3 linked regions of the Anolis sagrei genome follow. The protein of the gene in region 1 purifies or fractionates together with the protein of each later gene. This does not show direct contact. Links are inferred from orthologs where the notes say so. Each region holds a gene or a part of one and is shown in the gene's direction. Other genes may lie near its edges.

Region 1 (7,917 bases):
CCTGCAATATACCCTCGGAATAGCTCTCCCGGCACGTACAAATGATGTGCCAGGAGAGTGGGGAGCGATTTTCCCTCCTCCCCCCCCCCCCCCCGGCGCATCATTTGTACACACCGGGAGAGCTTCTCCGAGGGTATATTGCAGGACAGGTAAGTTTTTTTACCTTTTCAAAAGGGTCTGGGGGTTTGGGGGGAGGGGTGGGTATTGCCACAGTTTACCAGGTTTATTTAGCCCAGTAAATTGTGGGAATGGTGTCTGGATTGTAGCGAATTAATTGTAGCGAATTAATTCTGGACTGTCCAGAACATTGTCTGGACAGCTCCTCCTTTATTGCGGTAGATACCACAATAAAGATCCTATCTGGACGGGCCCTAATATAACCCAGTTCAAAGCAGATATTGTGGGATTTTCTGCCTTGATATTCTGGGATATAGGGTTGTGTGGAAGGGCCCCCAGAATATCAAGGCAGGGTTATCTGAGTCCACACTGCTATATAATCCAGCTCGATGTGGATTTTATACATCTCTGTGGGAGGAGCCTTTATGATAGCATCCAGAAATCCTCAAAAATAAAAACTGAAAATGTGGCAGGGCAACTGGACTTGATTAAGGACAATCTATATAAATCAATATAGAGCAGCTATGGGCAAACTTTGGCCCTCCATGTTTTGGACTTCAACTGGTAGGCTGTTAGGAATTGTGGGAACTGAAGTCCAAAACACCTGGAGGTCCAAAGTTTGCCCATGCCCGATATAGAGCCTTAGTTGTATGTTAGCCATGAATACTGTTGATGACATATAAAGCTAGGACAGTGGTAATTGATGGATTGATACATATCTGCAAGGTATTTGGCTGTCAGTGAATGACAAGTTCGCGGAAAGGAAAAGGAGAATTGCCTTGGGTAGAAAGTCCTTTCATGCCTTTCACATTCGTGCTGCCATGCCACTGTGGCATCCCAGGTGGGTCTAACTGCAACCATTTCCAAGCCCTTTTGTCAAATGCGACCCAAAGGAGGAAGTTCATAATTTATGCTCCCAGGCATTGCCCTTGCTGCAGCAGGGCTGACAAAGGATTAACCTTGACAATGGTTTTTATCACTCTGGAAGGAAACAAACTCTGAGTCCAGAAGCTGACGAACTGCTGTCAACTGAAACTGAACTTGTTGACACACATTTATTTCCAGCAACAAATTGGCAGTTAATGGTTCTAAGGGCAATAAAGGACAGTCTCCGGCACTCACAAGTCTCTTTAAATGGCTGCATATACAGTAACTAAAATGACTTCATTGTTACAGATGGGTGGGGAAAGTTTTTATTTTAGGCAGAGTTAAGAAGGTTGTAATAGCCATATTCTCACTTCCTTCCTGCACTAAACATTAGTGTTTAAAAGGGATGTGGCTTTAAAAAAAACCTGGAAATATCCTTTTCTGAAAGCCTTTGCTTTTGCATAAAAAGTAGCACTTTTGAGGATAGTTTATTTCAACATTATTGCTTTTTCAGTTTTGCAGAAATATGAATTGAAAATTGTAGATATTCCTACTGCTTTTTAAAGGGTTGTTACATCATCTCAGGGGATTTTTTTTAAAGCTTCCATCTCATAGTTTTAAAATGTCATGCATGAAGAGCAGTAGAGTTGTGCTGCAATATGAGATATCAGACCCTTTGACCATAAAATACCTGGGAAACAGGTGCCCTCCTGGTCTATGCAGCACGATGACATGATGCTGTGGTGAGTAATGCCAAAAAGAAAGGGCAAAAGCAACACAATGACTATGGGACTTCCACACAGCCCCTCATCCCAGAATATCAAGGCAGAAAATCCCACAGTATCTGCTTTGAGCTGGGTTATTCAAGTCCACACTAAGTTAAAGTGGGATTTTCTGCCTTGATATTCTGGGATATTGGGCTGTGTGGAAGAGCCCATATTTCAGAGACATATGTGACAAAAGTCCCTTCTAATGTGGTGTCATCTGCAAATTTGAAAGACATCTCTCTATTCCATCAACCAGGTAATTGATAAAGATGTTGTCTAGCCCACATTTTACCAGTTTCTTTGCTAGAATAACGAGGGGAAACCTGTTGAAGGCCTTGGTGAAATCAAGATAAATAAAACTGTAGATACGAGTCCCACAGTTATGAGGATTGGCCTGTATATCATCAACCTGCAAATCTCAGGCCCCTTCTACACTGCCATATAAAATCAAGATTTTGTGCTTTGAACTGGATTATATGGCAATGTAGACTCATATAATCCAGCTAAAAGAAGATAATGTGGATTTTCTGCTTTGATGATCTGGATTATATGGCAATGTAAAAAGGGCCTCAGTATGCCATAGGATGCCACCCCATTGATCGTCAGGGTTGTTATATCAATTAACCTGAGATCAAACTGCTATAACTCTAAGGTGTAGAAACCCTCTAAGTCTGAGCTTTCCAAACTGCATGTCACGAGATGTTCATTGTGTTGACTGCAGCTTGTAGGTGTGTCAGGTAAAAGTAACAAGTCTATGTAAAATCAGCAATAAATCATCTTTTTATGAATATCAATGAATATTTTGCACAAGATATGTTGTGTCCCCATATATTTCATTGTTACCATTTATGTATGTGTCCGAATCTCTTATAAGGGGTTGATTTAATCTCCGGTTTGCTAGTAAATCTTAGTTTACTGTGTTGCAAAATTGTGACTGTCTAAAAAGTGTGTCATTAGCATGAAAAGTTTGGAAAGCTCTGCTCTTAAGTGTTTGAAACTGAAACCAAACTACGGAAGCACAACAAAGTGCAATAGGAATGATCTTGTTGTCTTTATGGTAGATGAAGACCTTTTTAAATATTAGATATTTTTTTACTCCCATTCATTGGGAATGTTAGATATGGTTTATTATGGGGGGAAGGGTCTGTGTGAGAGATTAAAATGAGAACAACAGTACTTTAATTTATTTGTTGGATTTATATCCCCCCTTTCTCCCAGGATGAGAATGCCTTTTTGCAGGTCGAAAGGACAGGAAACTCAAACGTCAATGTGAAAGTCAAATGCCAGGGAGACCTTTTTTCATGAAGGACCAAAAGAAAAAGAAATAAACTATTGATTTTAAATTTACATTTTACAGGGTGAAGCAGCATAACTTCCTTTTTTCAAAACTTAATAGAACTCATTGTATGAATCAGAAAAAAATTATAATGTAGGCACATACCTAAAGTTTTGTTTTACGTAGTATGATGGCACACCGGGAAGGTTTGATGAGAAAACTATATGTGTCCGGCTATTTTCCCAGTGACCATCGGTATGCCCTGTATTTACTTTAATTTCCCCAAAATAAAACTCTAGAGACAAGACTAAATTGAACCAATTAGGTTTACTGAACAATCAAGGTGAATCAAAACAAGGTATGAAGGTGCAGTTTGATTCTTGATGGTATAGAATTAGAATAATAAGGAACAGTTATAAGTAGGTTGGTGACGTCCCCCATTCTCCGTACACTGAGTAAACTGATTTCTGGCCTTTGTCGTGACTCTTGCCAGCATAGCAGGCGTTATGTTGGCAATTTCTTCCTGGATGTTGGTCTTCAAATCTTGTAGGGTCCTTGGACAGGTCACATAAACACAGGATTTCAAAAAACCCCATAGAAAAAATCACAAGGGGCCAAATCTGGAGAGCGGGCCGACCACTCCAAATCCGCTCGAAAAGTAGGCCTCAACGGCAAAAGTTCTACTGTTTCACTGCTCCAACGCATGATGGCGACTGAACTGTGTCACGACAAAACTTTATACTCCCACCTCTCAAACGAGACCACTAGCACTCTGCTACGTCTTCAACCGACTGAATGGCGTGCATTTTAAAAATGGAAGTTATGCTGCCTCACCCTGTATTATTAGTAAAGGAAAGGTAAAGGTTTCCCCTTGATATTATGTCTAGTTGTGTCTGACTCTGGGGGTTGATGTTCATCTCCATTTCAAAGCCGAAGAACCAGCATGGTCCGTTGACACCTCCAAGGTCATGTGGCCGGCATGACTGCATGGAGCGCTATTACCTTCCCGCCAAGACGGTACCTATTGATCTATTCACATTTGCATGTTTTTGAACTGCTAGGTTGGCAGAAGCTGTGGCTAACAGTGGGAGCTCACCCCACTCCCCAGATTTGAACCACCAATTTTTCGGTCAGCAAGTTCAGCAGCTCAGTGGTTTAACCTACTGTGCCACCAAGAGACCGTACATTTTATTAGCATTGGTGTTTTAATCTCTGTTCTTTTTAATATACATATTTTTATCATCCTTTGTTCTGTTTATATATTTCAACTATGTTTACGCCCCACTTGGAGCCATGAGAGACAGGTAACAAATGAAACTTATTATCATTATTATTAATAGTAGCAGTAGCCTTGTAAAACTACAACTCCCAGAATCCCAAAGCATTGAGCCATGGAAGTTAAAGTGGTATCAAAGTGCATCTACAGAATAGATGCAGCCTTCCTCCCGGATAAATGCAAGACCACAAATCGCTTTGCACTAGCAGGGGTTTCCAACCAGGTTCTTGGGACTTCAACTCCCAGAAGCCCCAGTTTGACTGGCTAACTCTCAGGAATTCTGGGAATTGGAGTCCAAAGGCTGACAACCACAGCGTTGACAAAGCACCTGCTATTTTTTACCCCGGAGACGGAGCATGCGCGGGAGGCAATGACGTCAGAGAGAGACCGACTCCATTCTGATCTGTTTAAGGAAACCAGAAGCGCTTCCTTCTTCCGTCGCCGCCGCGGAGCCGGGGCTGCCCTTCTTCCGGTTTCCCTCGCGGAGGGGAGGGGCAGGCGGGGGAGTCCGGCCTCGTTTCCGCTGCCTGGAGTGAGGTCAGTGCCAGAAGCAAGGGAGGCGGGAAGCCATTCGTGGGAAAAGGCCAGAGAGAGGGATGAAGCGCATCTGTACTGCAGAATGAGTGCAGTTTGATCCCACTTTAACTGCCCTGCCTCAGTGCTATGGGATCCTGGGATTGGTAGTTTAGTGAGGCACCATCTCTCTTTGGCAGAGGAGACTGAAGAGCTTGTGAAGCTACCACTCCCAGGATTCCATAGCATTGAATCAGTGTCAAACTGCGTTAATACTGCAGTGTAGATTCACCCTTGGGATGCTGTACTTGGGCGAAAAGGGCATCAGGAAGAGGGCAGGACTTCCCTGGTGTTTTGAGCTTTTGGGTTCTCTTTCACAGGGCAGGTGGAGTGTCCCTCTCACCTCAATATTTTGGGCTGGGATTTAAGCTTTTCTTCCTCCAGATTTTAGAATACCTGTATTTGCATAAAGGTGCACAATCTTGGAAATTGGACCCAATTCTAAACACAAAATTAATATTTCACATATAACTTATTCACATTCTCTGGAGGTAATTTTATGCACACTATTTGTTAATGATTTTGTCCATGAAACTAACTTTGCGCCCACTGAAAGGGAAGGTATCACTATCTCAGCCACTCGATGCATTTTGGAGTAATTCAAAAACATGAACGAATTCCAGTGCACATTGCAAATATTTATTTATTTATTTACTGCATTTGTTGACCGCCGTTCTCAGCCCTAGGGCGACTCACGGCGGTGTACAACATATAAAAAGACAATTTACAATGAAAGCAATATCATAAACAACAATAACAACATCACTATTAATAATACCATTACACTAAATCATTCGCGACGTCTCATCATAGAATCACAATCCAATCTCGTTATCCATATTCCGTTCCACTCATCATTGCCAATTTGCTGTAGCACTTAGTCAAACGCCTTCTCAAACAACCACGTCTTTAGGCTCTTGCGGAATGTCATAAGGGAGGGCGCCTGTCTGATGTCTACAGGGAGGGTGTTCCACAGCCGGGGGGCCACCACCGAGAAGTCTCTATCCCTCGTCCCCGCCAGGCATGCCTGTGAGGCAGGCGGGATCGAGAGAAGGGCCTCCCCAGACGATCTCAAGGTCCTCGTGGGCTCATAGGCCGAGATGCGGTCAGATAGGTATTTTGGGCCGGAACCGTTTAGGGCTTTGTAGGCCAACACCAGCACCTTGAATTGGGCCCGGTAGCAGATCGGCAGCCAGTGGAGCTGGGACAACAAGGGCGTTGTGTGCTCCCTGCGTCCTGCTCCTGTTAGTAACATGGCTGCCGCGCGCTGGACTAGCTGGAGCTTCCGGGCCGTCTTCAAGGGCAGCCCCACGTAGAGAGCGTTGCAGTAGTCAATATCTTATTTGTAGTGCAAAATAGGAGCCCCCAGTGGTGCAGGGGGTTAAAGCGCTGAGCTGCTGAACTTGCTGACCGAAAGATTGCAGGTGCGAATTCAGAGTGGTGTGAGCTCCCGCTGTTAGCCCCAGCTTCTGCCAACCTAGCAGTTCAAAAGCATGCAAATGTGAGTAAATCAATAGGTACTACTCTGCAGGAAGGTAACAGCGCTCCATGAAGTCATGCTGGCCACATGATCTTGGAGGTATCTACAGACAACATTGACTCTTCGACTTAGAAATAGAGATGAGCACCACACCCCAGAGCGGACATGACTGGACTTAATGTCAAGGGAAAACTTTTACCTTTAGCCTACTGCAAAATAACATAAAAGATAACAATATTTTAAAATGAACAATTTTAACCAACATCAGCTTACCAGCAGTTCAACTGAGCAGTTTGAAAACATGCAAATGTGAGTAGATCAATAGGTACTGCACTGCAGGAAGGTAACAGTGCTCCATGAAGTCATGCTGGCCACATGACCTTGGAGGTGTCTACGGACAACGCAGGCTCTTCGACTTAGAAATGGAGATGTGCACCATCCCCCAGAGTCGGACACAGCTGGATTTAATGTCAGGGGAAAACCATTACCTTTATCCTAGTGCAAAATAATGGGAAGTGTAGGCCTGCTATTGGCTGATGAGAAAGTCAAGTTAATAATAATAATAATAATAATAATAATATAATAGCTTTATTTTTATACCCTGTCTCCATCTTCCCGAAGGGACTCGGGGCGGCTTACAAAGGATCAAGCCCGAAAAAACTCAGATTAAAACACAGTGCAATAAAGTAAAATAAAAAAAATAAATTCAAAATATCAAAAATAAACACATCACAATAACACAACACAACATCATAAAAGCAATCCGTAGACTGAACAGTAAAAATACTAAACTCAGAGGGCTAAGAGTTTGTGCAATAGTTTCTGGATAGGGCTAAGGGAAAGTTCAAAATCCGCATGTCGTGGACTCCACTTTGTGGCCCCATTTCATAAGGTTGGCTCTGCATCTCATGGTGCCACAGCGCCACCACTAGGCTTAGGGTGACTCTAAGTCTAAAGTTTAGGGTGAGGGCTGGGTAAGTGACCTTGGAGGTGACCCTGCTCTAAGAGCTCATCCACACTTGACTTACTGCCGTTTGACAACACTTTAGCTGCTTTGTTCAATATTGTGGAATCTTAGAAGTTGGTGTTTTACAAGTCCTTTAGCCTCCTCTGCCAAAGGGAGCTATTGCCTCACCAAACTGCAAATCCCATTATTCCATAGCATTGAGCCATGCTAAAGTAGTGTCAAACTTCACTAATTTTATAGTGCGTAGATGCACCCTTTGCCAGAGCAATGTATTGCCTCACCAAACTATAAATCCCAGAATCGGCAGCCATGGTGGATAAAAAGGAAGCATTACTGTGAAAGGAGGGTCTATTTGCTGCAGAAGAGTCAGATTTGCCCTTGGAATCTGCTGAGGTTTGATTCTAGGGGCCCCTTGGGATTGCAAAATACTGTGGGTGCTCAAGTCCCATTGTATACAGCAGTGGTTTCCAACCTGTGGTCTGTGCACCACCAGTGTTCAGCAAGAACCAAAATATGGTCCACAGCCTCACCTTTACTACACTGCAAGGAGAGTGACTGGTCTCGCAAAACCCTCTTATAGTGCTGAGGTTTATT
Region 2 (7,994 bases), on another chromosome or scaffold:
CCTTAAAGTGTGGGGAGGCTAAATTAACTAATTTATGAGGCCATAAAAAAGACTCCAGCAAAGCACTCCAGCAAAAAAAGCATGCGGGGAGTGCGGAAGTGCTTCATCAGTGTTGCAGATGGACGATGAAAGCGACAGCTCCCCTGGCGGCCAGAAAAAGTTAAATAGCCTCTGAGTATGTCTGTATATGTTGTATGTTAAAATTGGCATTGAATGTTTGCCATATATGTGTACACTGTAATCCGCCCTGAGTCCCCTGCGGGGTGAGAAGGGTGGAATATAAATGCTGTAAATAAATATAATAATAATAAATATTAAGATGTACCACCATCACTCACTTAGCTAAGGCAGGCAAGGGGCAAGGAAAATAGCAGGAACAAAGAATTTAGCTTTGTGGCTGGATAGTATCTTTTGCAAAGTTATAAATCTATCTCATGAGTGGTTTGGATTGCATCTCCCTCTCTTTGCTGCTTCCAACATTCTGTGCCCGGTTTTTTGGTTTTGTTACATGTACAATTGCAAATGAACAAACTAAAAAAAAATTAATTGAAAAAAAAAAGAAATAGGAAGATAGATGCTTTTGAACTGTGATGATGGAGGAAAGTGCTGAGAGTGCCTTGGACAGCGAGAAGATCCAACCAGTCCATCCTCCAGGAAATAAAGCCCGACTACTTATTGGAGGCATCTATCTTCCTTCGCTCAGCCTTCCCTAAGTTCCAGCTCTCACATCCGTAGGTGACTACAGGGAATACCATTGCTTTAACTATGCAGATCTTGGTTGCCAGTGTGATGTCTCTACTCTTCACTATTTTATTGAGATTGGACATTGCTCTCCTCCCAAGAAGTAAGTGTCTCTTGATTTCCTGGCTGCAGTCTGTGTCTGCAGTAATCTTTGCACCTAGAAATACAAAGTCTGTCACTGTCTCCACATTTTCTTCCTCTATTTCGCAGTTGTCAATCATTCTTGTTGCCATAATCTTGTTTTTTTTATGTTTAACTGCAACCCAGGAACTAATAAACAACATTAAAAAAATCCAGCCATTTCCCAAATATTTTGGAATATCATCCCCAATCAGAACTGCCCATCTCCATTTTTTTTTTTTTACTGGAAGGCAAGTTTAGCAATCTACCACTTATAGTCCAGGCTATGCACAGTCCAATCTTATGCATGTTTGCTCAGACATAAATACTGTCAAATCAAATAGTGCTTGACATCCAAGAAAGTGCATATTGGACTGTAGCTCTTAGTGTGCCAGGAAGATAATCTGGGTTTGTAGCCAAAGTACACCTGGGCTCTAAATACCTCTGGATAAATCAACCGAGGAGTCTCAAAATTGCAATAAAAATTAAACTTTCCCTCCTCCCAGTTCTCTATAATCATTAGATAGACAGATCTATCGGATAGAAAACAATTTCTAAGAGATAATTCTGACTACTGAGCCCAAATGTAGACAAAAACTCATCCAGTGGTCCCAAGGAAAGTTTTAGTGAAAATCATTGCAAGATTCTTTAAAGAGGAGTGATTCCAGTTAGACTGTAAAGTTATACACATTTAGGTAAAGATAAAGGTTTTTCCCCCAACATGAAGTCCAGTCATGTCTGACTGGGGTGTGGTGCTCATCTCCATTTCTAAGCCGAAGAGCTGGCATTGTCCATAGACACCTCCAAGCGCATGTGGCTGGCATGACATGGAGTGCCGTTACCTTCCCGCCGGACTGGTACCTATTGATCTACTCACATTTGCATGTTTTCGAACTGCTAGGTTGGCAGAAGCTGGGGCTGACAGTGGAAGCTCACACTGCTCAATATGCCCAAATATAAACACAGATGAAGTTTTAGGGAAATAGACCTTGACATTTGGGAGTTGTAGTTACTGGGATTTGTTGTTCACCTACAATCAAGGAGCATTCTGAACCCCACCAACGGCAGAATTGGGGCAAACTTCCCACACAGAACCCTCATGATCAACATAAAATACTGTGTTTTCTGGTGGTCTTTGGTGACCCTTCTGACACCCCCTCCGCATAGTTAAAGCAATGGTATTCCCCATAGTCACCTACGGATGTGAGAGCTGGACCATAGGGAAGGCTGAGCGAAGGAAGATAGATGCCTCCAATGAGCACAACCCACTCCAGGGGTCCCAAACTCCAGGTTGAGAAATGCTGCCTTAAGGCCATCCAGTCCAACTCCTTTCACCAGAGCAAGAAAACATAAAGCCCTCATGACAAAGAACCATCCAGCCATAGATATAAATATATTTGATTCACACACACACACGTTTATGACAGATATAGTACCATAGATTTGAAAGGGACCCCTAAAGAAGGAAAATGATATGTTGCATGTTCCAGAGTAGAAAACCAGACAATCTCCACATCAACACTGACAAAGATACAGCAAGAAATACTGTTTACCCACAAGCATTAAAAAATTACATATATTAGAAACCAATACTTTCTCATTACTTTATTTTCCAGATCACCAGACTGGGCCACAGCAACGCGTGGCAAGGGACCACTAGTACACTATAAATTATTGATTAGGGAATTTCACATTTGTTACACGTTCAATTTACAGACTTCATTCAGGAACGTTGCCACTGAGACATCAGTTAAAATCTTGGCAGTTTAAAAGCATAATTACTTTGTCTGGGTCGGTATGGCTTTTCATAGAATCTATAACTTGTAGTACCAAGCTAGATCTTGGTTCCTGGTAGAGTGGGCAGTGCAGAAGAACATGCAGGATGGAATCCAGCTGTCCTGTACTACTTGACAAGCTGGAATGTGTCCAGAGGAGGGCGACTAAAATGATCAAGGGTCTGGAGAACAAGCCCTATGAGGAGCGGCTTAAGGAGCTGGACATGTTCAGCCTGAAGAAGAGAAGACTGAGAGGAGATATGATAGCCATGTATAAATATGTGAGAGGAAGCCACAGGGAGGAGGGAGCAAGCTTGTTTTCTGCTTCCTTGGATATTAGGACAAGGAACAATGGCTTCAAACTACGGGAGAGGAGATTCCATCTGAACATGAGGTGTTCCAGCGAGTGTCTCTGTAGATCTTAGAAAACTATTTCTTGATTTAAGTCGTTGACGTGCTGGCTGGTACCCAAACGGGATGAGCTGGAGATGTCACTGCCTTGGTCCTTTCACTATTGGCTGCCACTTCCCGACGGATGTCAGGTGGTGCGATACTGGCTAGACAGTGTAATTTCTCCAGTGGTGTAGGGCGCAGACACCCCGTAATAATGCGGCATGTCTCATTAAGAGCCACATCCACTGTTTTAGTGTGGTGAGATGTGTTCCACACTGGGCATGCAAACTCAGCAGCAGAGTAGCACAGCGCAAGGGCAGATGTCTTCACTGTGTCTGGTTGTGATCCCCAGGTTGTGCCAGTCAGCTTTCGTATGATATTGTTTCTAGCACCCACTTTTTGCTTGATGTTCAGGCAGTGCTTCTTGTAGGTCAGAGCACGGTCCAGAGTGACTCCCAGGTATTTGGCTGCGCTGCAATGCTCCAGTGGGATTCCTTCCCAGGTGAGCTCGGGATGCTTGTCTGTTCTTGAGATGAAAGGCACATGTCTGTGTTTTAGATGGGTTGGGGATCAGCTGGTTTTCCCTGTAATAGGCAGTAAGAGCATCTAGAGCTTCGGAAAGCTTCTGTTCTACCACCTTGATTAGCATACAATGGGCTGACTGTTCCTGGAGCAAACTCTTCTTGAAAGGTAATTAGATGTCCCTGCCTGTTTCCTCTCTGCTGTTTTTGCTGTTGCAATTTTAGAATTTTTTAATACTGGTAGCCAGATTTTGTTCATTTTCATGGTTTCCTCCTTTCTGTTGAAATTGTCCACATGTTTGTGTATTTCAATGGCTTCTCTGTGTAGTCTGACATGGTGGTTGTGAGAGTGGTCCAGCATTTTTGTGTTCTCAAATAAAATGCTGTATCCAGGTTTCAACAGAAAGGAGGAAACCATGAAAATGAACAAGATCTGGCTACCAGTATTAAAAAATTCTAAAATTGCAACAGCAAAAACAGCAGAGAGGAAACAGGCAGGAACATCTAATTACCTTTCAAGAAGAGTTTGCTCCAGGCACAGTCAGCCCATTGTATGCTAATCAAGGTGGTCAGTTGAAATATTCACACCTAGCCCAACTGACAAAAGTCCTTTGTCTCACCCTGGTCATTCCACAGATATATAAACCCCTTCCCAGTTCCAACAGACCTCACTACCTCTGAGGATGCTTGCCATAGATGCAGGCGAAACGTCAGGAGAGATGCCTCTAGAACATGGCCATATAGCCCGAAAAAACCCACAAGAACCTATAGATGAAACTCTCTGTCCCTTCTGGCAGTGGCTGGTCATTTGTGTAGATGTTGAGGAACCCCTAAAGAAGGACAATGATATGTTACATGTTACAGAGTAGGCAAATCACACAATCTCCACATCAACAGTGACAAAGAAACAAGAAGAAATACTGTTTAGTTTACTCACAAGCAGAGAGACATTACATATATTAGAAACCAACACTTTCTCATTACTTTATTTTCCAGATCACCAGACCGGGCCACAGCAATGCGTGGCAGGGGACAGCTAGTGCATAATAAAAACGGCTTCCCCCTCAATTTTGATTAGGAAATACTCAGAGGGAGGCTGCATATGTTATAGTTTTGCTGTTCCGGGGACGCACCACTTCTAATGGCAATGACCTGCCCCCTCGGTGCTTGAAAAAGTCCTTCAAAGCCTGGAAGTAAGAGCCCGAGAGGTGAAATCGGAACCTTAGAGCCCGTGCGCATGTTCCGCGGGGGCTTAGAATGTCGAGGCACCGCCGGAGCGAAGCCGCGACACACCCACTTCGAGCATGGAAGCGCCAGGGAGCAGCTGCGGGCACGGCGGCAGCGGGGACGAGGCTCCCCCGGCGCGAGGCTTCGGCTTCCCTGGTCTGGCGAAGCAGGAGGAAGGAGAGGAGCAGGGAGCCGCGGCGCCTGCGCAGTGGGCACCGGGAGGGAGCTGGCTAGAAGTGCATCCTGCGGTGAGCAAGGATAGGGCGGGATGAAACCGTTTATGACTATGCGTGTGGATGGCCCGATTTCATTCCAATATCAGAGGGGTGGGATCATGTCATGGAATCTCATTTGATGCCTGCTCCACCAACATTAGCATCTGCTTTCCCGTGCTCAATGGCTGGAGGCAATTTTGTCCCTTTGGAAGGGCCCCATCAACACTGCCATCTAATGCAGTTTGGAATTGCATTATATGAGTAGTGCAGACTCAGGCTGGATCTACACTGACATAATTCAGTTTCCGAATCCAGAGCTGGCATATACACTTCCATATAATCCACATTATCTGCCTTGAACCGAATTATATAAGTCTACACTGCCATATAATCAAGTTCAAAGCATGTAATATGGATTTTATAATGTACTAGCCGTCCTCTGCCATGCATTGCTGTGGCCCACATGGGGGTTCTCTGTGGGAAGGCTGGCCCAATTCTATCCTTGGTGGGGTTCAGAATGGTCTGTGATTGTAGGTGAACTATAAATCCCTGCAACTACAACTCCCAAATGCCAAGATTCTATTTTCCCCAAACTCCAGCAGTGTTCACACTTGGGCATATTGAGTATTCGTGTAGTCCAGATCCATCATTGTTTGAGTCCACAGTGATCTCTGGATGTAGGTGAACTACAACTCCAAAACCAAAGGACACCCTTCCAGTATTTTCTGTTGGTCATGGGAGTCCTGTGTGCCAAGTTTGGTTCAAGTCCATCGTTGGTGAGGTTCAGAATGCTCTTTGATTGTAGGTGAACTATAAATCCCAGCAACTACAACTCCCAAATGACAAAATCAATTTTTTTGAGTGAAGGACATACATTGGGTTGTTAGGTGTATGCTGTCCAAATTTGGTGTCAATTTGTCCAGTGGTTTTTGAGTTCTGTGAATACCACAAACTAACATTACATTTTTATTTATATAGACTAGCCGTCCCCTGCCACACGCTGCTGTGGCCGTCATGGGGATTCTGTGTAGGAGATTTGGCCCAATTCTATTGTTGGTGGGGTTCTGAATTCTCTGTGATTGTAGGTGAACTATAAATCCCAGCAAGTACAACTCCCAAATGTCAAGGTCTATTTTCCCCAAACGCCACCAGAGTTCACATGTGGGCATATTGAGTATTCGTGCCAACTTTGGTCCAGATCTATCATTGGATCTCTGGATGTAGGTGAACTACAACTCCAAAACCAAAGGACACTGCCCACCAAACCCTTTCAGTATTTTCTGTTGGTCATGGGAGAACTGTGTGCCAAGTTTAGTTCAATTCCATTGTTGGTGGAGTTCAGAATGCTCTTTGATTGTAGGTGAACTATAAATCCCAGCAACTACATCTCCCAAATGACAAAATCATTTTTTTTGTGTGAAGGACATACATTGGGTTGTTAGGTGTCTTGTGTCCAAATTTGGCGGCAATTCGTTCAGTGGTTTTTGAGTTCTGTTAATCCCACAAATGAACATTACATTTTTATTTATATAGATGTAGAATGAAACAGGTACTTCTGGTTGGGAATAGTATACTGCTAGGACTTTGGTGGCATCTAGTACAGCCTTGTATTCTTATCAAAGATACTTAGTGTATTGTCGAAGGCTTTCATGGCTGGAATCACTGGGTTGCTGTGGTTTTTTGTGTGTCAGACTACACAGAGAAGCCATTGAAATCATAGAATCCTAGAGTTGGAAGAGACCTCATGGGCCATCCAGTCCAACTCCCTGCCACGAAGCAGGAAAATTGCATTCTAAGCACCCCGACAGATGGCCTTTAGCCTCTGTTTAAAAGTCTCCAAAGAAGGAGCCTCCACCACACTCCGGGGCAGAGAGTTCCACTGCTGAACGGCTCTCACAGTCAGGAAGTTCTTCCTCATGTACAGGTGGAATCTCCTTTCTTGTAGTTTGAAGCCATTGTTCCGCGTCCTAGTCTCCAGGGAAGCAGAAAACAAGCTTGCTCCCTCCTCCCTGTGACTTCCTCTCACATATTTATACATGGCTATCATATCTCCTCTCAGCCTTCTCTTCTTCAGGCTAAACATGCCCAGCTCCTTAAGCTGCTCCTCATAGGGCTTGTTCTCCAGACCCTTGATCATTTTAGTCACCCTCTTTTGGACACATTCCAGCTTGTCAACATCTCTCTTCAATTGCAGTGCCCAGAATTGGACACACTATTCCAGGTGTGGACTAACCAAAGCAGAATAGAGGGGTAGCATTACTTCCCTAGATCTAGACACTATGCTCCTATTGATGCAGGCCAAAATCCCATTGGCTTTTTTTGCTGCCACATCACATTGTTGGCTCATGTTTAACTTGTTGTCCACGAGGACTCCAAGATCTTTTTCACACATACTGCTCTCGAGCGAGGCATTGTCCCCCATTCTGTATCTTTGCATTTCGTTTTTCCTGCCAAAGTGGAGTATCTTGCATTTGTCCCTGTTGAACTTCATTTTGTTAGTTTTAGCCCATCTCTCTAATCTGTCAAGATCGTTTTGAATCCTGCTCCTGTCCTCTGGAGTATTGGCTCTCCCTCTCAATTTGGTGTCGTCTACAAATTTGATGATCATGCCTTCTAGCCCTTCGTCTAAGTCATTAATAAAGATGTTGAACAGGACCGGGCCCAGGACGGAACCCTGCGGCAATCCACTTGTCACTTCTTTCCAAGATGAAGAGGAAGCATTGGTGAGAATCACCCTCTGGGTTCGTCCACTTAACCAATTACAGATCCACCTCACCATACTTTTGCCTAGCCCACATTGGACTAGTTTCCTTGCCAGAAGGTCATGGGGGACCTTGTCGAAGGCCTTACTGAAAACCAGGTACGCTACATGCCCCCAGACAGCAACAGCCAATCTTTGCAGCAGCAAGGCTACTCAATACTACTCAAGCTTGCTAATTGCGACATTCACACTTCTTCAACAGACAAGGGTTCTTTCTCCCATCCTGGACATTCCACAGGTA
Region 3 (7,165 bases), on another chromosome or scaffold:
ATTCCGAGATGACAAAGAGAGGAAAGGAAAGGCCGGGGGCTGGGTCAGAACACTCCCAATACAGACCGAAATAGGCACACAGAGCCCCCATGACCCACTCGACATCCTACTGCAGTTTGGAGGAGGATGAACCATGGATGATGGGACTTGCGGTACCACCACTCACATTCTGAGACCGCTGTTAACCTCATCCAATGACTAATCAGGACCAAACTCCGCACATAGACCTCTCATGACCCACTGTACGTCCTGGTGTGGTTTGGCCGGCGATGGACCGTGGATTATGGGACTTGCAGTACCATTGTTCAATTCTTCAGACCACTGCAACCCTCATCCAATTACCGATAAATACCAAACTTGGCACACTGAGTCTCCATGACGCACTCTACATCCAGGTGCAGTTTGAAGGAGGATGCACCATGGACGATGGGACTTACAATACCTAAACTCCCTTCCTAAGACCATTACAACTGCCAACAATGATGGAACAGAACCACAATTTACACTAAGAGCCTGCATGACCCACTCTACATCCTGGTGCGGTTTGGAAGAATTTGGCAATGGATGATGGGACTTGCAATCATTTCACTCACTTCCTGAGATCACTGTGACCCTCGCCAATGACTTATCAAGACCAAACTTGGCAAGCAGAGTCCCCATGACCCACTCTACATCCTGGTGCACTTTCGAGGAGGAGAGACCATGGATGATGGGACTTGAAGTACCTCCACTCCCTTCCCAAGACTGCTGCAACCCTCATCTAATGTCCAAACAAAACCAAACTTCGCACACAGAGCCCCCATGACCCACTCTACATCCTAATACGGTTTGGAGTAGGGCATGCCATGGATGATGGGACTTGAAGTACCTCTACTCGCTTTCCGAGACTGCTGCAACCCTCAACAATGATTGAACAACACCAAACTTGGCACATAGACCTCTCATGACCCACTTTATGCCCTGGTGAGGTTTGACTGTGGATCGTGCATGGATTTTGGGACTTGCAGTACCTTCGCTCAATTCCTGAGACCACTGCAAAACATTATCCAATTTCCGATAAGGACCAAACTTGGCACACCGGGTCTCCATGATGCACTCTACATCCTGGTACGGTTTGGAGGATGATGCACCATGGACAATGGGACTTAGAGTACCTTCACTCAGTGAAACCACTGAGACCCTCATCCAATGACTGATGAAGACCAAACTTGGCACACAGAGCCCCCATGGCCAACTCAACATTCTGGTGAGGTTTGGGAGAGAACAGACTATGGATGATGGGACTTCAAGTACCTCCACTCACTTCCTAAGACTGGTGCAACCCTCATGTAATGACCAATCAAGACCAAACTTGGCACACAGAGCCCCCATGAGCGACTCTACATCTTGGTGCTGTTTGGAGGAGGACGGACAATGGATGATGGGACTTGCAGTACCTTCACTCACTTCCTGAAACCACAGTGACACTCATCCAAATACCAAGAAAGACCAAACTTGGCACAGAGAGCCCCCATGGCCAACTCAACATTCTGGTGATGTTTGAGGGAGACTATGGATTATGGGACTTGCAGTACCTTCACCCATGTTCTGAGACTGCTGTGATCCTCATCCAATGACTGATCAAGACCAAACTTAGCACACAGAGCCCCCATGACCCACTTTACGTCCTGCTGCAGTTTGAAAGGGGATGGACTTTGGGTGATGGGACTTGCAGTACCTTCACTCACTTACTGACACCACTGCCACCCTCATCTAATGACTGATAAAGACCAAACTTGGCACACAGAGCCCCCATGACACAGAGCCCTATATCCTGCTGCTATTTGTAGGAGGATGGGCCATGGATGATGGGACTTCAAGTACCTTCACTCACTTCCTGAAAATAATGCAGCCGTTATCCAAAGACCAATAAAGACCAAACTTGGCATACAGAACTGCCATTACCCACTTTCTCTAATAACCCGGGCAACGCCGGGTCCCCAAGCTAGTAAATAAATAAAGAGGAAGCATTGGTGAGCACTCTTTGGGTTCGTTCACTTGACCAATTACAGATCCACCTAACCGTAGTTTTGCCAAGTATTTCCCAACTATGAATAACACTAGTAAACAGTGACAGTAAATCAAGGATCAGAACTTAAAATTCATCATTCAGGCATCCAGAAAAGTAAATTGTTGTCTTTTTTTCAATCCACATAATCCTTGGTTTAGTAATTTTTGAGATTTTTAACAGCAGGGCAAGATTTTTATAGGGAATTCCCAAATGACTGATGAAAAAAAGGAACTCTATCCACCAAATTCCTCAAGAGGCTTGAAAAAAAGAGAGAAAATAGCCCCGTCGTCCCACAAGAGGATGAAAAGTGTGCCAAATGTCTTTGTGTGGCCTTTAGAAGGTATGTTGTCATACAGCTCTTGAGAGTATGGCTTAACAATGATGAGGCATATTATTGTTCTCCCCTGATCTTAGCTCAAATAAGTACAGGTTGGGTGTCCCTTCACCAATATTTGGAAACACAAAATACTCAAAAATTGGGGAGATGTCAGCTTTGCTTTCAATGTACACAAACTTTGTTTTGTGCATAAAATCGTTTACAATATTGCGTATAAAATATAACTCCCTATATCAGCGTTTCTCAACTTGGGGGGTCGGGACCCCTGGGGTGGTCGTGAGGGGGTGTCAGAGAGGTCACCAAAGACCATCAGAAAACACAGTATTTTCTGTTGGTCATGGCGGTTCTGTGTGGGAAGTTTGGCCCAATTCTATTGTTGGTGGGGTTCAGAATGCTCTTTGATTGTAGGTGAACTACAAATCTCAACAACTACAACTCCCAAACGTCAAAGTTTATTTATTTTTATTTATTTATTTCAATTACTTCTACCCCGCCCTTCTCACCCCCGAGGGGGGACTCAGGGCGGCTTACAAACGAAGGCACAATTTGATGCCTATATCACATTATACAAAACATACAAAAACAGTTTAAGCAAAATTAACTGGCTATGGGCCTGATCCTGCATATCAGATATTTACATTACGATTCATAACAGTAGCAAAATTAGAGTTATGAAGTAGCAACGAAAATAATTTTATGTTTGGGGGTCACCACATCATGAGGAAGGTTGAGAAACACTACCGTGTGTGTGTGTGTGTATTGCAAATATTCCAATATTTGAAATCCCAAATAATTCTGGTCTCAAGCATTTCAGTTAAGGGATACTCAATCTGTCATCGAGGGCAGCGGAGACCCCGCCTTCAAGTTGGTCTGACATGCAGCGGAGAGTTCCGCAGTTCCTAGAAGCCACAATTGGGACAAACTGATGAAATGTGCCCCAACAGACAGCTCAAACTGGGACTGCACTCAGCCTCTGGGCCTTCCTATCACTTTCCCCCAAGCCCTAACATTGTAACTATACATTATATGATCAAATCTGGAAAAAATCCCAGTTGAGATGCATCCACACTGTAAAATTAAGGCAATTTGATAGCATTTAAACTGCCATGGGTCAATACTATGAAATTATGGGATTTTAGTTTGGGACAGTTTGATAGCATTTAAACTGGCTTGGTTCAATACTATGTAATCATGGGATTTGTAGTTTGGAGAGGCAGAAGCACATTTTGGGGGAAAAATGCAAAAGCCCTTGTAAAACTACAACTGACAGGATTCCATAACATTGGGGGCATCTGCACTGTAGAATGAATGCAGTTTAATTGGTATGGAATCACTGGACTTGTAGTTCTGCAATGCTTTGCAAACTATAAGTCCTTAGTTTCCATAGAGAGCAAACTATAAGTCCTTAGTTTCCATAGAGAGCAAACTATAAGTCCTTAGTTTCCATAGAAAGCAAACTATAAGTCCTTAGTTTCCATAGCACTGAGTCATGTTAGTTTAAAGCGGTGTCAAACTGCGTTAACCTGACAGTGTAGATGCTCCCATCTCCCAGCCTAGGCCTTTGCTTGTAAATCCCTCCTCTCTCTCTTTTCTCTGCCCTCTCCCCTTTTCCCAAAGAGATCCTACACTCGACCCGTGCTCTCACCTTTTCAGGAGAAGCCTTCCCAAACACGTGTAGCTTGCCCGATCGTGGGAATGGGTGGAAGAAAGCGGGCAGGAGCCCACGAATGCGTGCAGGAGGGTTTTAGCCTCTTGCAAAAGCCATGCCTGGGATGGACCCAAGCCTTGCAAAGACCGCCTGCCTCTTCCTGTCTGCCTCGCACCGTTTCCTCTCCTTTGCAGTCGCTGCTGCTTGGTGCAAATGCTCCCCTTCTCTGCCTTCCTTTCCTTTCCTCCTCCGCTCCTTTCTTCTGAATCCACTCCGCAATTTCCCTATCGCCCGCCTTGAAGGCTCCCATTGGTCCAGCCTCGCATCGCTCCAGTCCCGGGAAGGACGCAAGAGGAGTTCAAAGGGTAGGGCGACCTGGATTGAAACCGGTTTAAGAGCGGGTGTGGAGAGCCCAAGAATCGGGGTTTCGCTGGAAACCCCTATATAATGCCCTCCTAATATGTTGGGACTACAGCACCCATCATCTGCTAGCTGGGGGTGATGGGATTTGTAGCCACAACACTTCTTGTCTTTTTTGTTGTTGTTCCATGTGCTTTTAAAGCACTTTTTTTTGAACAATTCTGTTTCATTGTGTTGGACTACAGTACCCATTAGCTGATGTCTGGGGAAGATGGGATTTGTAGTCACAACACCTCTGGGTTTTTTTAATTCCATGTGCTCGTTTGGAACAATTCTATGCTTCATTATGTTTGACTATAGCACCCATTCGTTGCTGTCTGGGATGATGGGAGTTGTAGTCACAACACACCTGACTTTTTTAGGTTCAATGTGTTTTTTAAAGTTTTCGTTTTTTAAACTATTCTATGTTTAATTGTATTGCACCACAGCACCCATCAGTTGCCGGCTGTGGACGATGGGAGTTGTAGTCACAACACATCTATCTTTTTCGGTTCTATGTGCTGTGTTTTTAACTATTCTATGTTTAATTATATTGCACCACAGCACCCATCAGCTGCCGGCTGGGGATGATGGGAGTTGTAGTCACAACACATCTGTCTTTTTTGGTTCTATGTGCTGTGTTATAACTGTTCTGTGTTTAATTGTATTGCACTAAGCACCCATCAGCTGCTGGCTGGAGATGATGGGAGTTGGAGTCACAACACATCTAACTTTTTTGGTTCTATGTGCTGTGTTTTTAACTATTCTGTGTTTAATTGCATTGCACTACAGCACCCATCAGCTGCCAGCTGGGGATTATGGGAGTTGTAGTCACAACACATCTTTTTTGGTTCTATATGCTGTGTTTTTAACTATTTCATGTTTAATTGCATTGCACTACAGTACCCATCAGCTGCCGGCTGGGGACGATTGGGAGTTGTAGTCACAACACATCTAGCTTTTTTGGTTCTGTGTGCTGTGTTTTAACTGTTCTGTGTTTAATTGCATTGCACTACAGCACCCATCAGCTGCCGGCTGGGGACAATGGGAGTTGTAGTTGTAGTTCTATGTTTAATTGTGTTGCACCACAGCACCCATCAGCTGCCAGCTGGGGATTATGGGAGTTGTAGTCACAACACATCTAGCTTTTTTGGTTCTATGTGCAGTGTTTTAACTGTTCTGTGTTTAATTGCATTGCACTACAGCACCCATCAGCTGCCGGCTGGGGACAATGGGAGTTGTAGTCACAACACATCTAGCTTTTTTGGTTCTATGTGCTATGTGTTAAATTGCATTGCACTACAGCACCCATCAGCTGCCAGCTGGGGACGATGGCAGTTGTAGTCACAACATATCTATCTTTTTTGGTTCTATGTGCTGTGTTTTTAACTATTCTATGTTTAATTGCATTGCACCACAGCACCCATCAGCTGCCTGCTGTGGACGATGGGAGTTGTAGTCACAACACCTCTTTTTTTTTTGGTTCTATGTGCTGTGTTTTTAACTATTCTGTGTTTAATTGTATTGAACTAAGCACCCATCAGCTGCTGGCTGGGGATGATGGGAGTTGTAGTCACAACACATCTAGCTTTTTTGGTTCTCCGTGCTTTTAACTATTCTATAAGACCTCATCACTAGAGAATGAATCCACTTTAAATCCGGCAGAATTCTGGGGTTTGTAGTTTAGTGAGGAGCCTTTAACAGCCTCACTATAATACAAACCCTGGAATTCTGCAAGAGGTAGAAACCAGATTTTAAGTGTGATGAAATAGTATGTTAAATTGCATTGGAATAAGCACCCATCAGCTACTGGCTGGGGATGATGGGAGTTGTAGTCACAACACACCTGGCCTTTTTGGGTTGTTTCATTTCATTTTAAGTATTTGTTTTTAACTATTAAGTTTCATTGTGTTGGTTCATTACACCCAGCTGGGGATGATGGGAGTTGTAGTCACAACATCTCTTGACTTTTTTGGACTTCAGGTACTGTAGAATTGAGGCAGCTTGGCACCACTTTAATGGCCATGGATCAATGTTATGGAATCTTGGAAGTTCTAGTATTAATTTTACAAGATCTTTAGCCTTCTCTGCACAATAGTGTTGGTGCCTTCCCAAACTACACATCCCATAATCCCATAACATTGAGCTATGGTAGTTTAAGTGGTGTCAAACCATGTTCCTTCTACTGTGTAGATCAGGCATGGGCAAACTTGGGCCCTCCAGGTGTTTTGGACTTCAACTCCCACAATTCCTACTGGCTGTTAGGAATTGTGGGTGTTGAAATCCAAAACACCTGGAGGGCCCAAGTTTGCCCATGCCTGATCTAGGTCCTCGAACGCAACTCGTATTAATCATTATGCAAACAATCAAATCTGCAAATGTGGAGGGACAACTGTCACCCTCACCTCAAAGACAATTAGTGGTATGATGCTTTGTGTATTTTGATCCTCTCCCTTCTTCTCAAGGAGACATGCATCCAGGCCCAGACATGATCCGAATTCACATCCTGGAGGGAAAGGCTTTGGTGTGGAATTACGCTGATGCATGGCGCATCCGAGAGGAGCATCGCATAGTTGGCACGCTGTTTGGGGCATTGGCTCGGAAGCCACGCCAGAACGTGAGGCTGGGGCTTCCTCTGCAGTTGCTCCCGGAAGAAGCCCGGCTGCTGCTGGAAAACGGCCTGGCAATCCTGTGTAAAAACCCAGCATCCCCAGCCCTTGGGGAGGATACA

The links.
Region 2: the proteins of TSEN2 (region 1) and TSEN15 purify together in Homo sapiens (affinity purification with mass spectrometry; 4 studies listed by BioGRID and IntAct, counting the BioPlex papers as one, with this or other methods). This does not show direct contact. The link is inferred for Anolis sagrei from reciprocal best matches to the Homo sapiens genes TSEN2 and TSEN15.
Region 3: the proteins of TSEN2 (region 1) and TSEN34 purify together in Homo sapiens (affinity purification with mass spectrometry; 3 studies listed by BioGRID and IntAct, counting the BioPlex papers as one, with this or other methods). This does not show direct contact. The link is inferred for Anolis sagrei from reciprocal best matches to the Homo sapiens genes TSEN2 and TSEN34.

Annotation. Positions count from the first base shown.
Region 1 is NC_090022.1:64,428,053-64,435,969, reverse strand, and holds the start of TSEN2 (tRNA-splicing endonuclease subunit Sen2), read left to right. Parts: upstream 1-4,694; 5' UTR 4,695-4,840; intron 4,841-7,917.
Region 2 is NC_090024.1:122,177,871-122,185,864, reverse strand, and holds the start of TSEN15 (tRNA-splicing endonuclease subunit Sen15), read left to right. Parts: upstream 1-4,816; 5' UTR 4,817-4,854; coding exon 4,855-5,025; intron 5,026-7,994. UniProt on the Homo sapiens protein: Non-catalytic subunit of the tRNA-splicing endonuclease complex, a complex responsible for identification and cleavage of the splice sites in pre-tRNA. It cleaves pre-tRNA at the 5' and 3' splice sites to release the intron.
Region 3 is NC_090026.1:19,085,066-19,092,230, forward strand, and holds the start of TSEN34 (tRNA-splicing endonuclease subunit Sen34), read left to right. Parts: upstream 1-4,150; coding exon 4,151-4,400; intron 4,401-6,899; coding exon 6,900-7,165. UniProt on the Homo sapiens protein: Constitutes one of the two catalytic subunit of the tRNA-splicing endonuclease complex, a complex responsible for identification and cleavage of the splice sites in pre-tRNA. It cleaves pre-tRNA at the 5'- and 3'-splice sites to release the intron.